Linked DNA regions of Macaca mulatta. The protein of the gene in region 1 interacts with the protein of each later gene in a biochemical or structural test. Links are inferred from orthologs where the notes say so. Each region holds a gene or a part of one and is shown on either strand. Other genes may lie near its edges.

Region 1 (6,122 bases):
CAATATGTCTCCCTAATTACTGCATGCAAGGTATCCATTTTTCATGTCCTGTAAAAATTGGAGCAAGAAGCATTTTACAAGTACCAGGGATCATTATTCTGGTTCCACAGTTATTAGACCAACTCAGGTGGTCTGTGATACCTGATATGACGATCTCAGGGACATCCAGAATGTTGCCAAATGAAGCGGTTTTACGGTGGCCCCGTTTAGGCTTGGAATAGGCTGCAAAAACACATATATACAGTATACATGCAAACAACCACAAACAGTAACACAGAAAATGATTAACTACAAAAATAGACTCATTTTCAAATAGTTCATGTTAATAACATTTCATGCAGAATGGCATGCAGAACTACCTAACTTTTCATCCATGCTCAGAAAAGGCGAGATTAAAGAGCAAACAACTACCAAACACAAGATGTCTTACACACTGGTTTTAATCAGCAGAAAAAATAAAAAGAACAGAGACAAAGCTGCAGGGTAATGAGGAAGCAAAATTTCAAATATATTCATAGAAACACTCTACCTAAGTGAAATCACTGATATGTGATGGGGGTGGGGGAACGAAGGAGGAAAGGAAGAAAGGCATTAAAAAGTAAGTAGTCATATTTGTTTTAATTACACAAACAGGAATATATGTTCAAGTTAGGTGATTCTTGAAGTGTGCTATAAAGTAAAATTCAATGATTAAATACTAATTATTGAATCAAAGTGTGAAATGTATATACTTTTGTAATCATACATATTTCTAGTAAACCAAATATTTATTATATTTTCCAAAGTTTAGGGTACATTCACAGTAAACACAAAGTCTGTCAAAAGGCTGGAAAGTATGAATCTTTCCAAGTAAGACAATTCATGAAAAAATACAAATTGTGTAAAGCTCAAAGGATGTACAATAGCATTTGTTCTACATTTAGGCAAAAAAAGATAGGGTAATTTTAATGTGTGTGGTTATCCTTCTTGCAAAGTCATTTCTGTAAATAATAATAAAAAACCAGTGCTTGACTAGAAATATGATACCAGCAAAGACATGAAACCATTATTATAACAATTTTCAGTTTTGAGACAGCAATCAGAATGTGGCAGATCTATCCTTAATAACATGCCTGAAGTGAAAAGGGTTCCTCAAAGCGTGAGGGTATGTCCCTGTGAGTAGGGTTCATCTGACACTACAGTGAGACAACCCTGCTCCGAAGAAATACTTGTGATTCATGGAGACTCTGGGCTTGTCAGTGGCTGGTGACTTCTCAACTTGATAGTTTCTGAAGATCCATCTGTGGCAGACACAGCTATCTTCTGCCGGTCTCTACTCTTCCCTTCTGTTTTAGCAATAGTACTCTGATTTTATTTAGGACAGAAAAGTCATCAGATAAAAGAGGGCAGATCTCCTCTTCCCTTGGAGCTACGTGTAGCCATTCGACCATGTTACTCTGACCAATGACGTGTGGACATTGTTAGGAAAGGCATCTGGGAATGTTCCTTCAAAGAACTTGGATGCCTATTTGCCCTACCCCCATGTCTTCCTTCCTGCTGCCTGGAATGTAGAAGTGATGAAAGGGAACTTTAACAACCATTTTGGAGCACAGGATAACTTTGAGAATGGAAGCTATACAATAGGGATTACGGCACAGAAATAGGAGACCAGTTACTTCAAGATCACAGAGCCCACTACCTTCAGACTTGTTTATGTCTGAAAAATAATGCTTATGTGTTATAGACACTGTTATTTTGGAAATCTGTTATATCTAATGGATTCTAATACTAGCTGATAAAAATCAATGATCATGATTAGTTGAAGACAAGTATAGTATGATGGTCCATCTTGACAACTTCTTTCTGAAAGAGCTCCACACACAATAAGAATATTCTATTTAGAAAAAAACCAAATAAGTGAAAAAAATACCTAAAAAATTGGTTAGCTAAGTTAAAAAAGATGCAAATACACATAGAAATACACATTTATACGTATATATATAGTTAAAAGACTGGGGTAAATACACAAAAATGTTAAGTGTTTATCTCTGAGTGGGGTAATTATGTAAGTTTTTTTGGCTTGTTTACATTTCCACATTTTCCACAACAGAAATGTGTTTACTTTTAAAATCAGCTCCCCCCAATCCCTGGAAGGAATCAGCAAAAAACAACGAAGTCCAAACTAAACCAGCATTACTAAAATGAAACCTGGTCAGAAAATTAGGTTGCCAGTTTACTTAGGTAACAAAACATGTAATTGTTTTTGTGCTGACCAGTTCTTCCATGATTAATAATTTTAAGAACTGAACAATGGAATTTAAATGCTAGCTTTTCCAAGATCCAATAAAATTATGATCTTTTACTTTACAATTAAAAAAATTAACCATAACCAGCTTAGCTAATATTTTGTCACTGGAATGAAGGAGCAGATAGAAGGTCAAATCATACGTGGATCTGGAATACATTTTTCTGTTAAATTTGAAACAAAATATTTGCTATTATTAGAGTTCAGCACAAAAATCTAGTAGTATCACTCAAAATCCCCAAAATATTCCGGTTTTGGCAGAATTTCTCACTCAGACTTTCAACTCATGTTTGAGCAGAAAGAATTACATTTGATAAAATCTGTAAATGAGGAAGGCATACTTTCTCATCCAAATAATTTTACAAGTCATACCTTCCTTATTTGGAATTTGAGATAAATGCAAAATTATTGCTAGTAACTTAGAAAAATATATTGTAAACCTACTTCCTATTTAAAAAAAAAAAAAAAAAGACACACACACAAAACCTCTGACAACTGAAACTACCATGGCCAAAAAGGCTTATATACATTTCACTCTTCAGACTTGTAGTTCCTTTTTACCTGTGGTTGCAGCGATCCTAGCTTCTATTTCAGACATGTCAGCACTCATCCTCTTTCCCTCAGAGGTTGGGGGCAAGCTCTCCACACTGCTCCCACGGGAGGCTCCCAAGCTTAAACGTCCAGATTCACTCTGTTAAAATTACAGGTCAATCTGAATTACTGAAGTTCTTTAGATTTAGCAGTCTTAGGCAACCTAAAAGGAGGAAGATGGCAAGTAGGATTCTGATGGATCCTGTTCTGCTCTGAAAGGAGAGGGAAGTTTGCACGAGAGGGAGCTACAGCAGTAAGGGAAAGCAAGCTGCAGATACTGTTTTTATGAAAGAGTAGTCACTAGAACTGGGGCTAAAAGCCCCAATTATTCATTAACCTAAATGCCTCAGGCAAAATGAATAAACTCACTCCTTACAATATTTTTAAAAATCAACAACGGCAAAAATATAAATCTGAATAGCATGAAATGATACACTTAGGACAACTCCTCTAACTGGGCAGCACAGCCAAAATATATCCGTTTTACATTTTTAACCATCAACCATTACATTTAAGGATTATTATAGATAGGGAGTTAGAGTTGGCAAAGGTAGCAATCATTAGAAGGAAAAACCATTTGGTAATAAATGGTAGGAGACTCTCATTACAAGTCTCTATTTGTAAGCTCTTCTATATGTTTCAGGAAGAAAATTCAGGATTTATAAAATAGAAGATGGTAAATAATTAATTTCATTTAGTATAATATTGTGACTACTGTTAAGGTTACCAATTTTACTTGTAATAACAAAACAAACCTGTTGCTTTGCCTGATTTTTCAACAATTTTGACTCTAAGCGCTTAATAGTATCATTTGTAGCAGGAACTTGCTCCATATTAGTGTCACTTTTATTACTCGTATTTGTAGAAGCAATGTCCATGAATGAGCCTAGGAAAAGCAGAAACATTTATGACTACTGGTTGGAAATAATAAAAATGCTTCACTTAGTATTATGTAACTTACATTCTTTTATAAACTAGCCAGGCAGGAACAGAAATAAGACTTTTCAAGCTAATGAAGATATCCAAACAAACCCATTTTAAGCAAAACTTAAGGCTAGCACAAAAAGGAACCAAGATGCCTAAATAGTCTTCTAATAGTCAAGAATAACTTAAGGTTTTTAACCTGAGCTAGTAGAAGAACTGAGGGCTATTAATTGAGATGGGGAAAGACTACAGGAAGATTGAGTTTGAAGGAAGTATCAGGAACTCTGTTTGGAAAATATTGAGTTTCTAGTAGATGTATAGAAAGTAGTTGGATATATGAGTATAGAGTTCAGGTATAAGATGGAAAAAATTATGAGCCAGCAGATGGTATATAATGCCACAATACTGGATGAGGTTACCAAGGAAATGAGTGCAGACAGATAAGTGAAGAAGCCAAATGACTGGGCCCTAGGCACTTCAACATTTCTAGGTTGGGGAGATGAGGAATAACCAGCAAAGAAAACTGAGAACAGATGGCCAGAGATGTAAGATGGAATCTAGGCTAGTATGGTATCTCAGAGGCCAACTGAATAAAGTGCTGTGTGTAAGAAGGAGAAAGTAATGAATTAGATCAAGTGCTACTGAGAGTCAAGATGAGAAATGAAAATGATTCCTTAAATGTAGTGATGTAGAGATAACTAGTGACCTTGACAAGAACAATTCTGAAGTACTGGCATAATATGTCTGAATGGAGTCGGCTCAAGAAAGAAGGGGAAAAGAGAAGCTAGAGAATGCAAATACAGACTACGTATGTTCTAGGAATGATCCAGTAGAAAGTTAAAGCTGATGATGCAAGAGAGAGAGGAGAATTGCTCAGAAAAGTAGATGGGATATAATGCAGATGGGATATAATGCACAGGCAGAAAGGTACACCTTTGGCCAGAAGTATGGATAGTTCAGCCAGAGTAACAGAAGAAGGCAGAGTAGATGGGCACAGATGTTGTGGAAGCTGTCTTCTGATTACTCCACTTTTCTCAGATGAAGGGCAAACAAAATCAGCTGAGAGTGAGGAGTGGTGAGGAGGTGTTTGAAGCCCGAGGAGAGGCTACAGTATAAAATTAAGATATATAGGAGGAAAGAGATGAACTACAATATAGTACAACTGTCCAATAGCACTAAACATGCATGTGAGGATATCTCCAGCCATACTCAGCTGCACTGGTACAGGCAAGGGGTAACCCGAGTGTTAGCTTTTATTAGGCTTGTGGTTTAGCCAAGCAAGCTTGAGAGAGAGGCTAGAAAGATGAAAATTATTCCCAAAGGAATTATAATAGTTGATTGGAATTAAGTGGAGGGAGAAATAAAAAAGGACCTAAGAGGACTGAGGACCAGTGAAAAGGTGGGAGGCTAAAAAACCTCAAGGTCACAGTAAGGAAACGAAGAGAGGGTTTGGAGGACGTGGGAGATGCAAATTATAGAATTTTAGAGAAGTACATTTTAGAATTCAGAGCAACTCAAAATATTTTCAGTAAAACTGGAATTTGAGAATAACTAGCCAAACCATAAACCATCTCAAAATAAATAAAACTATTCTTGAGGTGGGAGAAATAGATCAGTAAAAGTATTCGTCAATAAATGCAGGGTAAATACATATGCATATAGACACACATGTAGTTTTTAGTTTTAATTAATAATGAAATGCTTATAATGCCACTATATTTTGAGAAGTACAATATTTCTAAGTTACAGTATTATTTCTACTATCTTTTTGATGACCACAAATTACATGTCCCACTACTACTTCACATTTCGGAAAACTAAGGAACTTTTAACATAGCTTCTTAAATCACAGTCTCTGTAGAAAAGAACAAAAATTAGGGTGTTCATGATGAAGAAATGTGTTAAATACATTTACAATAATTTCTAATACCACTTGATCTAGTAGTATCCATTTAAAAGTTATCTTTAAAGTTAAGAATGACATTTACTGCAATACAATATGCCATCTTTTTATTCATAATTATGTAGGAATTCCAAGACTTGGAAGCAGGTCTTCAATAACTCTTTAATCAGGGTATCTTCATGAAGAATGATGCACCTGTAAACTTAAATTGCAGTCAATCATATGAAATGAAGGAATTAAAATGCAAATGGGGACATTATTCATTACTTCTTGATTATAATTTCACGGGAATAGAGACGAAAGAAAAATCGAGTCGATACTCTTCCAATCTATCCATTTACCTGTACTGGTGGCAGAGTTGCTCTGTCCTTCATCTGAATACTGACAAGGATACTGTAATGGCTCATCTGCTCCTGGAAA
Region 2 (5,127 bases), on another chromosome or scaffold:
CTCCCAATGTGGCTGACAACACTGATGAGTCTGTAGGCCTGGAGAGGATCCCCCATCTTCACGTTTCTTGTCAGTTCCTTGGCTTCACCTCTTGTGTTCTCTGTATCTAAAATGTTTTTGTTTCCTGGGTTATCACAACCCAATGCCTCGAGGTGGTTCAGGTCAGCCTGCTGAAGTCTTAATTCTGTAGACTGACTGGGGGTCTCCTCTGCATGTTCCTGGGCATCCAGTTTCCTAACACCTGGAGGTGGTGCCTGCTGAAGAAATTCCTCTATGATGCTCTCCTCAAAACACTGCTGGAACTGTTCAGTCATTCCTTGAGATCCTTCTGGAATCCTGTTTTCTTTACACTCATAAAAGCCATTGGTAGACTCCATGACACTGTCAAAATCAAACTCTACGAATGTATTGGTTTTCTCATACTTCTGAAGTTCTGGATGTTGAGGCACTTCTTGAAGATGAACCTCGACAAGCCTTGTGTCTGGGCTGCTGATCGGCTTCCCTCCATCTTCACATATCACAGGAAGAGAAATGTCTTCCTGGTCCATCAGTGAGTCAGCCACTGGAAGCTCCTGTTCACTTATTGCCCTATCTCTAAAGTGGACCAATTCTGACTCTAGTGCAGAACCATTTTCCAGGTCTCCCTGATGCTGCTCTTGGCTTTCTTCTCCACAGTCTCTCTGGGATCTTTGTAGGTCGGCATTCTTCTCTGGTTCAACGGGTAGAACCAGGGAATCACTGGATTCTGAGGTCAGCTTCATTGATGGTGTCAATGGGCTGGTGATCTCAGAAATCATCTCCTGAGAGACTTCCAGGACTTCACATTTCCCAACAGGTGCATTACTGCTCAAGGGAAGAGGTGGTTTGGTGCTTTCATTGCAATAAGAAGATAAGCTTAAATATTTGGGAATATAAACTTGCTCGTTATTCTTCACCAGCAACCAAGCATTGTTGAAGCTATAGCGTTTCAGATGAACGATAAGGACCCTGGAGAGCCTACTAAATGTATGCCTTGCAACACAACTCTTGTGCTTACACATCTCACAGTTATACTCAAGCTCTTCTTCTCTAAAGAAAAGATCTAAAGAATTCTGAATGGACAAAGGAAGTGGTTTTGTTTCTTGGTGCAGGTTGATGGAGAGATAATTGTTAGGTTCTACCTTGAGAACCGCATGACCACAGGCTTTACAGACAATGGAGAGCTGCAATTCAAACTCAAAATTAGCAACAACAGGACAAACAAACACTTTGGTGGCAGCACTACCAACATGCATTTGTGGAGATGAATTTTCATCCCCGCATTTTTTCCCAGTATTCAAAATGGCATTTAAGTTCTCCATGTCTTCTTTCAGCTGGTCTAAACACTGACCTAAAAACTCATGCGCATCATTCTGCATGTTGCCAGAAAATATTTCTGCAACTGCTGAAATGACTTTTTTAACATTCCCAAGTAATTCTCTCTTGATCTCTGTACTACAGAAATCTTTCAAAGCAAGCAGCTGGGTCAAGGTCATAATAAGAGCCTCAAAGGGAATATATTCCCATGGGACATCTTGAGTGAGTAAGTCATCAGCAAAAGACGGAATTGCAAACAGCGATTGTAAAATTGCATTCATGTAACAGGTGTTTCCCAAATTGGGGAACCCTTGCTGCAGTTGCTCTGAATGAGAGTCAAGAGGCACCTGGGCTTCGTTGCATCTCGGGTCATCCTGGCTGTGCGCTGGTTCTAATGGAAATGTCAAACCATTTTTGGCATCGAGAGTCTGGGTTGCAAGAACAGTCTCATCTAGGTTAGGATGTCCATTAGAGTTGGTCTTGAATGAAGGCCCGAGTTTCAAATCGCTAGCTTTTTCTAAATCCTCTAAACTTGATGGGTTCTTCCTATTGCTTTGTATATATTTCAAGGAATCTGTCTTATATTTCTTGTTTGGTACAGGGTTATGTTCCTTCAGAATGTCCTCATTCATCTGTAGACCAGATGCTAGTGGGTTTTTCTCCTTCCCACCTTGATTTTCTAATAACCCTTTTTTCACATGTGTTGGTGATTTTGACATAAACAAAGGCATCTTCTGATAACTTGGCTTGTTACAAATCCCGTAAAATGAAGTTTTGTCAATTTCCTTCAGCACATTCCTGCTTTCAAACACACTCCAATCATCATCAGGTTTCACGGGTTGCTGAAATTTGTTTTGATGTATTATGTCCAGGAACATATTCAACTGTTTAGCATCTCTGTAGGATAATTTGTCAATAAACAAGAACACATTGTTTTTCAAAGTTAAACGCAGGTGACTTTGTCTTTTTTTACAATGTCTAAGGACCACACTTCTAATGTTATTACTCAGCTGAAAAATTCTTATAAATTTTCCAGATTTGAAAGTGACCACCAGTTTAATTTCCTTTTTTCTTTGCACTGTTTCAATGAGAGCTTCTTTCAACTTAGTCATCCCAGTCCTCTGGCTCCAAATCTGGATGAATCCACGTACCTTTAGAGATATCATCCTTTCTTTATGTAACCTAAAGAAGAAAAGCACACATGCATTTTAACCAAAAATATATTAACAGTTATATTTTATGAAAAACCTCATCCACATATAATAATGATTTATTTTTCGTCTTCTTATGCTCTAAGTAAAACACTCTTTTGGGGAACTGCTCGTATTCTGAAGCTACGCCAGTTCTGTAGAAGACATAGACTGAGGGCACACACTCTTTCAAGGGAGCTGTTAGACGAGAAAGAAGATACAAATGGCCAACAGAGAGATGAACAGCTGTTCAACATCACTGCTCATCGAGAAAATACAAATTTGGTTGGACATGGTGGCTCATGCCTGTAATCCTAGCACTCTGGGAGGCCAAGGTGGAAGGATCACTTGAGGCCAGAAGTTCAAAACCAGCATGGCAACATAGGGAGACCTCATCGCTACATAAACTTTTTTAAATTTAAAAAAGGGGAGGGGCCAAGATGGCCAAATAGGAACAGCTCCGGTCTCAGCTCCCAGCAAGACCAACGCAGAAGGGGGGCGACTTCTGCGTTTCCAACTGCGGTACCCGGTTCATCTCACTGGGACTGGTTAGGCAGCGGGTGCAACCCACAGAGGGTGAGCAGAAGCAGGGTGGGGCATTGCCTCACCTGGGACGTGCAAGGAGCCGGGGACCTCCCTCCCCCAGCCAAGGGAAGCCGTGAGGAACTGTGCTACTTGGCCCGGATACTACGCTTTTCCCACGGTTTTTGCAATCTGCAGATCAGGAGATTCCCTTGTGTACCTACACCACCAGGGCCCTGGGTTTCAAGCACAAAACTGGCCAGTTGTTTGGGCAGACACCGAGCTAGCTGCAGGAGTTTTTTTTTTTTTTTTTGTACCCCAGTGGTGCCTGAAACCCCAGTGAGACAGAACCATTCACTCCCCTGGAAAGGGGACTGAAGCCAGGGGTCCAAGTGGTCTCACTCAGCAGGTCCCACTCCCACAGAGCCCAGCAAGCTAAGAACCGCTGGCTTGAAACTCTGCCAGTGCAGCAGTCTGAAGTTGACCTGGAATGATGGAGCTTGGTTGGGGGAGGGGCATCCGTGATTATTGAGGCTTTAGTAGACACTTTTCCCTGGACAGTACTAAGGAGGGTGAGAGGTTTGGACTGGGCAAAATTCACCACAGCGTGGCAAAGCAGCTGTGGCCAGACTGCTTCTCTAGATTCCTACTCACTGGGCGGGACATCTCTGAAGGAAGGGTAACAGTCCCAGTCAGGGGCTTACAGATAAAATCCCCATCTCCCTGGGATAGAGCAGCTGGGGAAGGGGTGGCTGTGGGCACACAGCTTCAGCAGATTTAATCTTTCCCACCTGGTGGCTCTGAAGAGAGCAACTGATCCTGATAAGAGGGATTTCCCAGCACAACAGCTCTGCTAAGGGACAGGCTGCCTCCTCAAGAGGGGCCCTGATGCCCGTGCCTCCTAACTGGGAAGACACCTCCCAACAGGGGTTGACAGACACCTCACACAGGAGAGCTCTGGCTGGCATCAGGCTGGTGCCCCTCTGGGACAAAGCTTCCAGAGGAAGGAACAGGCAGCAATCTTTGCTGTTCTGCAGCCTCCACTGGTGATGCCCAAGTGTACAGAGTCTGGAGTGGACCCCCAGCAAACTGCAGCAGACCTGCAGAAGAGGGGCCTGACTGTTAGAAGAGAAACTAACAAACAGAAAGCAACAACATCATGAACAAAAAAGACCCCCACACAATAACCCCATCCAAAGGTCATCAGCCTCAAAGATCAACGGTAGATAAATCCACGAAGATGAGGAAAAACCAGCACAAAAACGCTGAAAAATCCAAAAAACAGAATGTCTCTTCTCCAAATGATCGCCAATTCCTCTCCAAGGAGGGCACAAAACTGGATGGAGAATGAGATTGACGAATTGATAGAAGTAGGCTTCAGAAGGTGGGTAATAACAAACTCCTCTGAGCTAAAGGAGCATGTTCTAACCCAATGCAAGGAAGCTAAGAACCTTGATAAAATGCTACAGGAATTGTTAATTAGAATAACCAGTTTAGAGAGGAACATAAATGACCTATGGAGCTGAAAAACACAGCAAGAGAACTTTGTGAAGCATACACAAGTATCAATAGCCAAATCGATCAAGTGGAAGAAAGGATATCAGAGACTGAAGATCAACTTAATGAAATAAAGCATGAAGACAAGACTAGAGGAAAAAAAACGAAAAGGAATGAACAAAGGCTCCAAGAAATATGGGACTACGTGAAAAGACCAAACCTACGTTTCACTGGTGTACCTGAAAGTGACGGGGAGAAGGGAACCAAGTTGGAAAACACACTTCAGGATGTTATCCAGGAGAACTTCCCCAACATAGCAAGACAGGCCAACATTCAAATTCAGGAAATACAGAGAATATCACAAAGATACTCCTTGAGAAGAGCAACCGTAAGACACATAATCATCAGATTCTCCAAGGTTGAAACAAAGGAAAAAAATGTTAAGAGCAGCCAGAGAGAAAGGTCAGGTTACCTACAAAGGGAAGCCCATCAGGTTAATAGTGGATTGCTGCAGAAACCCTACAGGCCAGAAGAGAGTGGGGGCCAATATTCAACATTCTTAAAGAATTTTCAACCCTGAATT
Region 3 (6,122 bases), on another chromosome or scaffold:
CTAGGGGAAAGAACCCAAAGGAAGTAGAAGGAGACAAATAATAGCAGTAAAAACAGAAACTAATGAAAAAGGCTGGGCGCAGTGGCTCACGCCTGTAACCCCAGCACTTTGGGAGGCTGAGGCGAGTGGATCACCTGAGGTCAGGAGTTTGAGACCAGTCTGACCAACATGGTGAAACCCCATCTCTACTGAAAATACAAAAATTAGCTGGGTGTGGTGGCCAGCACCTGTGATACCAGCTACTCAGGAGGCTGAAGCAGGAGAATCACTTGAACTCAGGAGGTGGAGGATGCAGTAAGCCAAGATCACGCCATTGCACTCCAGCCCGGACGTCAAGAGCGAAACTCTGTCTCAAAAAAAAAGCCAAAAAAAATAAAAAAAAAACTTTTTCATTAAACAAGAATTATTTGTTTATTCAGCTTTTTTCCTAAGGTAGTTTTTTTCAGAGACAAAATCTTAGCCAATGCATCTGCAATCCTCTAAGACCACGTCCCTCAGAGATTAGCTGCGAGGGGTCCACCAGCTTGACCTCCTTGAGGCTGTGCTTTACTGTCCGTCATGAGCCTTCAGAGAATCTCCTGAGTGCCTCATTTTGTTGGGGTTGTCCCTCAGTGACCCTTTAGAACTTGATTTATCTTGTATCTCTGGTACTGTCTAGAAGGTATGTAAAGCCCTCATCATGTTCTGTTTCAGTGCTTGAGCAACACTGCACCACTGACTGACTACTTTCTCAAAGATGAGTATGAAGCCGAAATCAACAGAGACAACCCTCTGGGGATGAAAGGGGAAATTGCAGAAGCCTATGCAGAGCTCATTAAGCAGATGTGGTCTGGAAGGGATGCCCATGTGGCACCTCGCATGTTCAAAGTAGGTAGACATATATATATATACAGGTTGAGTATCTCTGTATATAGATGCTTGGGACCAGAAATGTTTTGGGACTTCAGGTTTTTTAGGGTTTTTTTTTTTTTACAGTATTTCCATTACGCTTACTAGTTCAGCATCCCCATTCCAAAATCTAAAATGTTTCAATGAGCATTTCCTTTGAATATCGTGTCAGTGTTAGAAAGGTTATGGATCTTTGAGCATTTGGATTTCAGATTTTCGGGTAAAGGATACACTCCTGTACTTCCTTTTTCCCACTTTGGGGAGAGTGGTTTAGTGTTGTTATGAGGCATTCCTTTTGTTGCATTTTGGGATTAAGATGGGATCTGGGCCAGGCGCTGTGGCTCACGCCTATAATCCCAGCACTTTGGGAGGCCGAGGCAGGTGGATCACTAGGTCAAGAGATTGAGACCATCCTGGCCAACATGGTGAAGCCCCGTCTCTACTAAAAATACAAAAAGTAGCTAGGCGTGGTGGCGCATGCCTGTAGTCCCAGCTACTTGGGAGACTGAGGCAGGAGAATCACTTGAACCTGGGAGGTGGAGGTTGCAGTGAGCTGAGATTGCGCCACTGCAGTCCAACCTGGTGGCAGAGTAAGACTCCGTCTCCAAAAAAAAAAAAAAAAAAAAAAAAAGATGGGATCTGATGACCAGTCACGATGGCTCACGCCTGTAATCTCAGCACTTTGGGGGGCCAAGGTGGGTGGATCACCTGAGGTCAGGAGTTCAAGACCAGCCTGGCTAACATGGTGAAACCCCTTCTCTACTAAAAATACAAAAATTAGCTGGGCATGGTGGTGCACACTTGTAATCCCAGCTACGTGGGAGGCTGAGGCAGGAGAATTGCTTGAACCTGGGAGATGCAGATTGCAGTGAGCCAAGATCACACCACTGCACTCCAGCCTAGGCAACAGAGCAAGACTCCATCTCAAAAAAAAAAAAAAAAAAAAAAAAAAGATGGAATCTGAGACTAAAAGTACCACATTGTCAAACCCTTTTTTTCCTGTCATTCAGTCATTTAGCACACCCCTAAGTGTCTTCACTGCCCACCTCTGGGTTGGGGATGTCTCAGAAGTTATTTGTAAGCTGATTCCTCAGAATGCTGTATTCTGTGATGGCAGTATTTAAATGGTCAGTTTCCTAAGCCAGACTATAAAAATTCAGTTTCTTGGAAGGCTGAGGTGGGAGGATCCCTGGAGCCCAGGAGTTTGAGACCCGCCTGGGCAACATAGTGAGACTCCGTTTTTGTTTTGTTTTGTTTGAGACAGAGTCTGACTCTCTTCTTGCCCAGGTTGGAGTGCAGTGGCACGATCTTGGCTCACTGCAGCCTACACCTCCCGGGTTCAAGCGATTCTCATGCCTTAGCCTCCTGAGTAGCTGAGACTACAGGTGTGCACCACCATGCCTGGCTAATTTTAGTATTTTTAGTAGAGATGGGGTTTCGCCATGTTGACCAGGCTGGTCTCAAACTCCTGATCTCAGGGGATCTGCCTGCCCCAGCCTCTCAAAGTGCTGGGATTATAGGCATGAGCCACTGCGCCTGATCAAGTCTCTGTTTCTTTAAAAACAACAAAAAAGTTGGCCAGGCGCAGTGGCTCACGCCTGTAATCCCAGCACTTTGGGAGGCCGAGGCGGGCAGATCACGAAGTCAGGAGATCGAGACCATCCTGGCTAATATGGTGAAACCCTGTCTCTGCTAAAAATACAAAAAAAAAAAAAAAAAAATTAGCCAGGTGTGATGGCAGGCGCCTGTAGTCCCAGCTGCTCGGGAGGCTGAGGCAGGAGAATAGCATGAACCCGGGAGGCAGAGCTTGCAGTGAGCCGAGATCGTGCCTCTGCACTCCAGCCTGGGTGACAGAACGAGACTCCATCTCAAAGAAAAAACAACAACAACAAAAAAAGTCCGGGCATGGTGGCTCGTTCCTGTAATCCAGCACTTTGGGAGGCTGAGGTGGGCAGATCACGAGGTCAGGAGTTTGAGATCAGCCTGACCAACATAATGAAACCTCGTCTCTACTGAAAATACAAAAATTAGCCAGGTGTGATGGTGCCCACCTGTAATTCCAGCTACTCAGGAGGCTGAGGCAGGAGAATTGCTTGAACCTGGGAGGTGGAGGTTGCAGTGAGCTGAGATCGCACCACTGCACTCCAGCCTGAGCAACAGAGCGAGACTCTGTCTCTAAAACAACAACAAAATTAGCTGGACATGGTGATGTACCTATAGTCCCAGCTACCAGGGAGGCTGAGGTGGGAGGAATTACTTAAGCCTGACAGGTCAAGGCTGCAGTGAGCTGTGATTGTGCCACTGTACTCCAGCCTTGGCGACACAGACCCTGTCCCAGAATAAAAAAATAAAAAAGAATTGGGTGGCAACACACTGTGCTGAAGCTAATGTAAATAAACAACTAGAAGGTAGTGTTTAGGGATATTAGGGAAGTGTGGAGCTTCCTCAGTGATGGATGTGTTATATATTTGTACTGTGTTATGGCAGCCACCAGCTCAAGCACCTCTGAGCACTTGAGATGTGGTTCATTTGACCAAGGAACTGAATTTTTAATGGTTTTTAATTGTAATTAATATAAATTTAGGTTGCCATATGTGGCTAGTGGCTATGGTATTAGAGAACAGGTGTAGAACAGTGGTGCTCCATTTTTTTTTTTTTTTTTTTTTTGAGACAGAGTCTTGCTCTGTCGCACAGGCTGGAGTGCACTGGCACGATTTTGGCTCACTGCAGCCTCCGCCTCCTGGGTTCAAGCAATTCTCCTGCCTCAGCCTCCCGTGTAGCTGGGATTACAGGTGTGCACCACCATGCCCAGCTAATTTTTGTATTTTTAGTAGAGACCAGGTTTCACCATGTTGGCCAGGCTGGTCTTGAACTCCCAACCTCAGGTGATCTGCCTGCCTCAGCCTCCCAAAATTCTGCGATTACAGGCGTGAGCCACCGTGCCTGGCTGGTTCTCCATAGGATACATCACAGTCTCTGGGAGTGCTTAATACAACATAGACTGCTAGACCCATCCGCAGAGTTTCTGATTGAATGGGTTTGCTGTGGGGGCCTGAGAATGTGCATTTCTACTAAGCTCCCAGGTGATACTAATGCTGCTGGCTAGGGACCATACTCTCAGAATAACTGGTGGAGAATAATACTGGACAGACAGTATTTAGGGACCTGAGGGCTGTTATGTACAGGAGGATTCCTCCAGCTGATGAAAGTATCGTTTGTAATGTCCTTATGGAGTTTAAGACTCTGAACCAAAGAAGGACATGTTGGAGAGGGATTCATGTCAGTACTTGGGTGTGGTTACTCAGGATACCCCACCCTTCCTCCCTAGGACTTAAGGTAGTGGCCCAGGTTCCAGATTCATCCTCCTGGCTCTCTGATCTAGGCCTTCTCTCTGGTGGGAACCACTGGCCTCCTGTAGGCTCTTCAGGAGTTAATTGGACTACTCAACCAAGTGTTCTCTCTCACTACCCAGCTAACTCCTCAAAGCTATTTTTGATGATAGTTCTCATTTGATTTAACTAGTTCTTTACATATTATGCCTTCTGATGCAGTTGCTTTTGTTGTAGACTCAAGTGGGACGTTTTGCTCCTCAATTTTCTGGCTACCAGCAACAAGATTCTCAGGAGCTGTTAGCCTTTCTTCTAGATGGATTGCATGAAGATCTGAACCGAGTAAAGAAGAAGCCCTACTTGGAGCTGAAGGATGCCAATGGGCGGCCAGACGCGGTATGCCATTAATGATGTCTGAACGAAGAAGCTGCCTCATATTGAGAGTGCAGGGATATTCTTCTGGTCTTTTGAGTGTTGCTGCCAGGGCCCTGGTTGCTTCTCACTGTAGCTAGTTATAGGTATATGGTCTCTGGTCAGAAAAGGGCTAACTGTAGTTACTGCTATTTTTTTTTTGTAATAGAGACAAAATCTTGCTATGTTGTCTAGGCTGGTCTCCAGCTCCTGAGCTTAAGCAGTCCTCTTACCTTAGCCTCCCAAAGTGCTGAGATTACAACAGGCGTGAGCCACTGTCCCCTAGTTACTCCTAATGCTTCCTCTTGGGCTTTTTCAAATTTGAGTGAGCTTGTTTGATATTTCACTGGTGAACTAGGGACTAAGAACACTCTGAAAACTGTAAAGTGCCTGTAGTGAGGACCCCTAAGATTGTTATCGCTCACAATAAAAGCTATCTATGATTACTTAATTTGTTATTAATATCATTAGGACATTTATACTTTTTACCTTGATTTTCTGATCAGTGCAAGAGGATTTTAGTATTTCAGCTGCCCTGTCACATTGGGATAATCAATATGAATGCTTTAAAGTAAAATTTAGATCTTCTTAGAAAAACTGTGAGTTAGCTGAACTGTAGTATAGATAAAATTATTAAAATTTATTTGTTTATTTTTTTGAGATGGAGTCTCACTCTGTCACCCAGGCTGGAGTGCAATGATGCGATCTCGCTCACTGCATCCTCCACCTCCCGGGTTCAAGCGATTCTCCTGTCTCAGCCTCTTGAGTAGCTGGGACTATAGCCATGTACCACCACACCCGGCAAATTTTTGTATTTTTAGTAGAGAGGGGATTTCACCATGTTGGCCAGGCTAATCTTGAACTCCTGACCTAAGGTGATCCATCTGCCTCGGCCTCTCAAAGTGCTGGGATTTCAGGCATGAGCCACTGTGCCCGGCCAAAAACTACTTTAGATCACTGGAAACATATAGGGGGACTTTCCTTGTCCTGGCCATGTATCTGTACCCATAGTGTCCTCCGGGTTCTGTTTCCTATCAGGACACACAAACCCCTAGTTTCCAATAGGTCCTATGATGCCAACCTTATTAAGTGTGGGGATTACAACGAGGCACAGTGGCTTACCCCTGCGGTTCCAGCACTTTGGAGGCTGAGGTGGGAGCATCACTTGAGGCCAGGAGCTCTAGAACCATCTGGTCAACATAGTAAAACCCCCATCCCTACCAAAACTAAAAAAACATTAGCCAGGCATGGTGGGGCGTGCCTATAGTCCTAGCTACTTGGGAGTCTGAGGCAGGAAGATCGCTTTGAGCCCAGGAGTTCGAGGCTGTAGTGAACCATGGTCGTGCCAGCCTGAGCGACAGAGCAAGACCATGTCTCAATCAATCAATATAATATATATTTGAAATATATATATAAACATATATATGAAATATATATATGTGTGTTGGGGTGGGGATTGGGTGTAGAGCTGGCATGTGGTATGAGTATGATACA

The links.
Region 2: the proteins of MAP3K7 (region 1) and USP29 form a complex in vitro, tested with the Homo sapiens proteins (2 studies listed by BioGRID). The link is inferred for Macaca mulatta from reciprocal best matches to the Homo sapiens genes MAP3K7 and USP29.
Region 3: of the proteins of MAP3K7 (region 1) and USP4, one has a biochemical effect on the other in vitro, tested with the Homo sapiens proteins (2 studies listed by BioGRID). The link is inferred for Macaca mulatta from reciprocal best matches to the Homo sapiens genes MAP3K7 and USP4.

Annotation. Positions count from the first base shown.
Region 1 is NC_133409.1:95,418,710-95,424,831, reverse strand, and holds part of MAP3K7 (mitogen-activated protein kinase kinase kinase 7), read right to left. Parts: coding exon 6,044-6,122; intron 3,762-6,043; coding exon 3,631-3,761; intron 2,976-3,630; coding exon 2,846-2,975; intron 223-2,845; coding exon 142-222; intron 1-141. UniProt on the Homo sapiens protein: Serine/threonine kinase which acts as an essential component of the MAP kinase signal transduction pathway. Plays an important role in the cascades of cellular responses evoked by changes in the environment.
Region 2 is NC_133424.1:69,336,394-69,341,520, reverse strand, and holds part of USP29 (ubiquitin carboxyl-terminal hydrolase 29), read right to left. Parts: intron 2,518-5,127; 5' UTR 2,502-2,517; coding exon 1-2,501.
Region 3 is NC_133407.1:112,741,287-112,747,408, reverse strand, and holds part of USP4 (ubiquitin carboxyl-terminal hydrolase 4), read left to right. Parts: intron 1-207; exon of another isoform or gene 208-385; intron 386-693; coding exon 694-867; exon of another isoform or gene 868-1,247; intron 1,248-1,430; exon of another isoform or gene 1,431-1,521; intron 1,522-4,454; coding exon 4,455-4,613; exon of another isoform or gene 4,614-4,790; intron 4,791-6,122.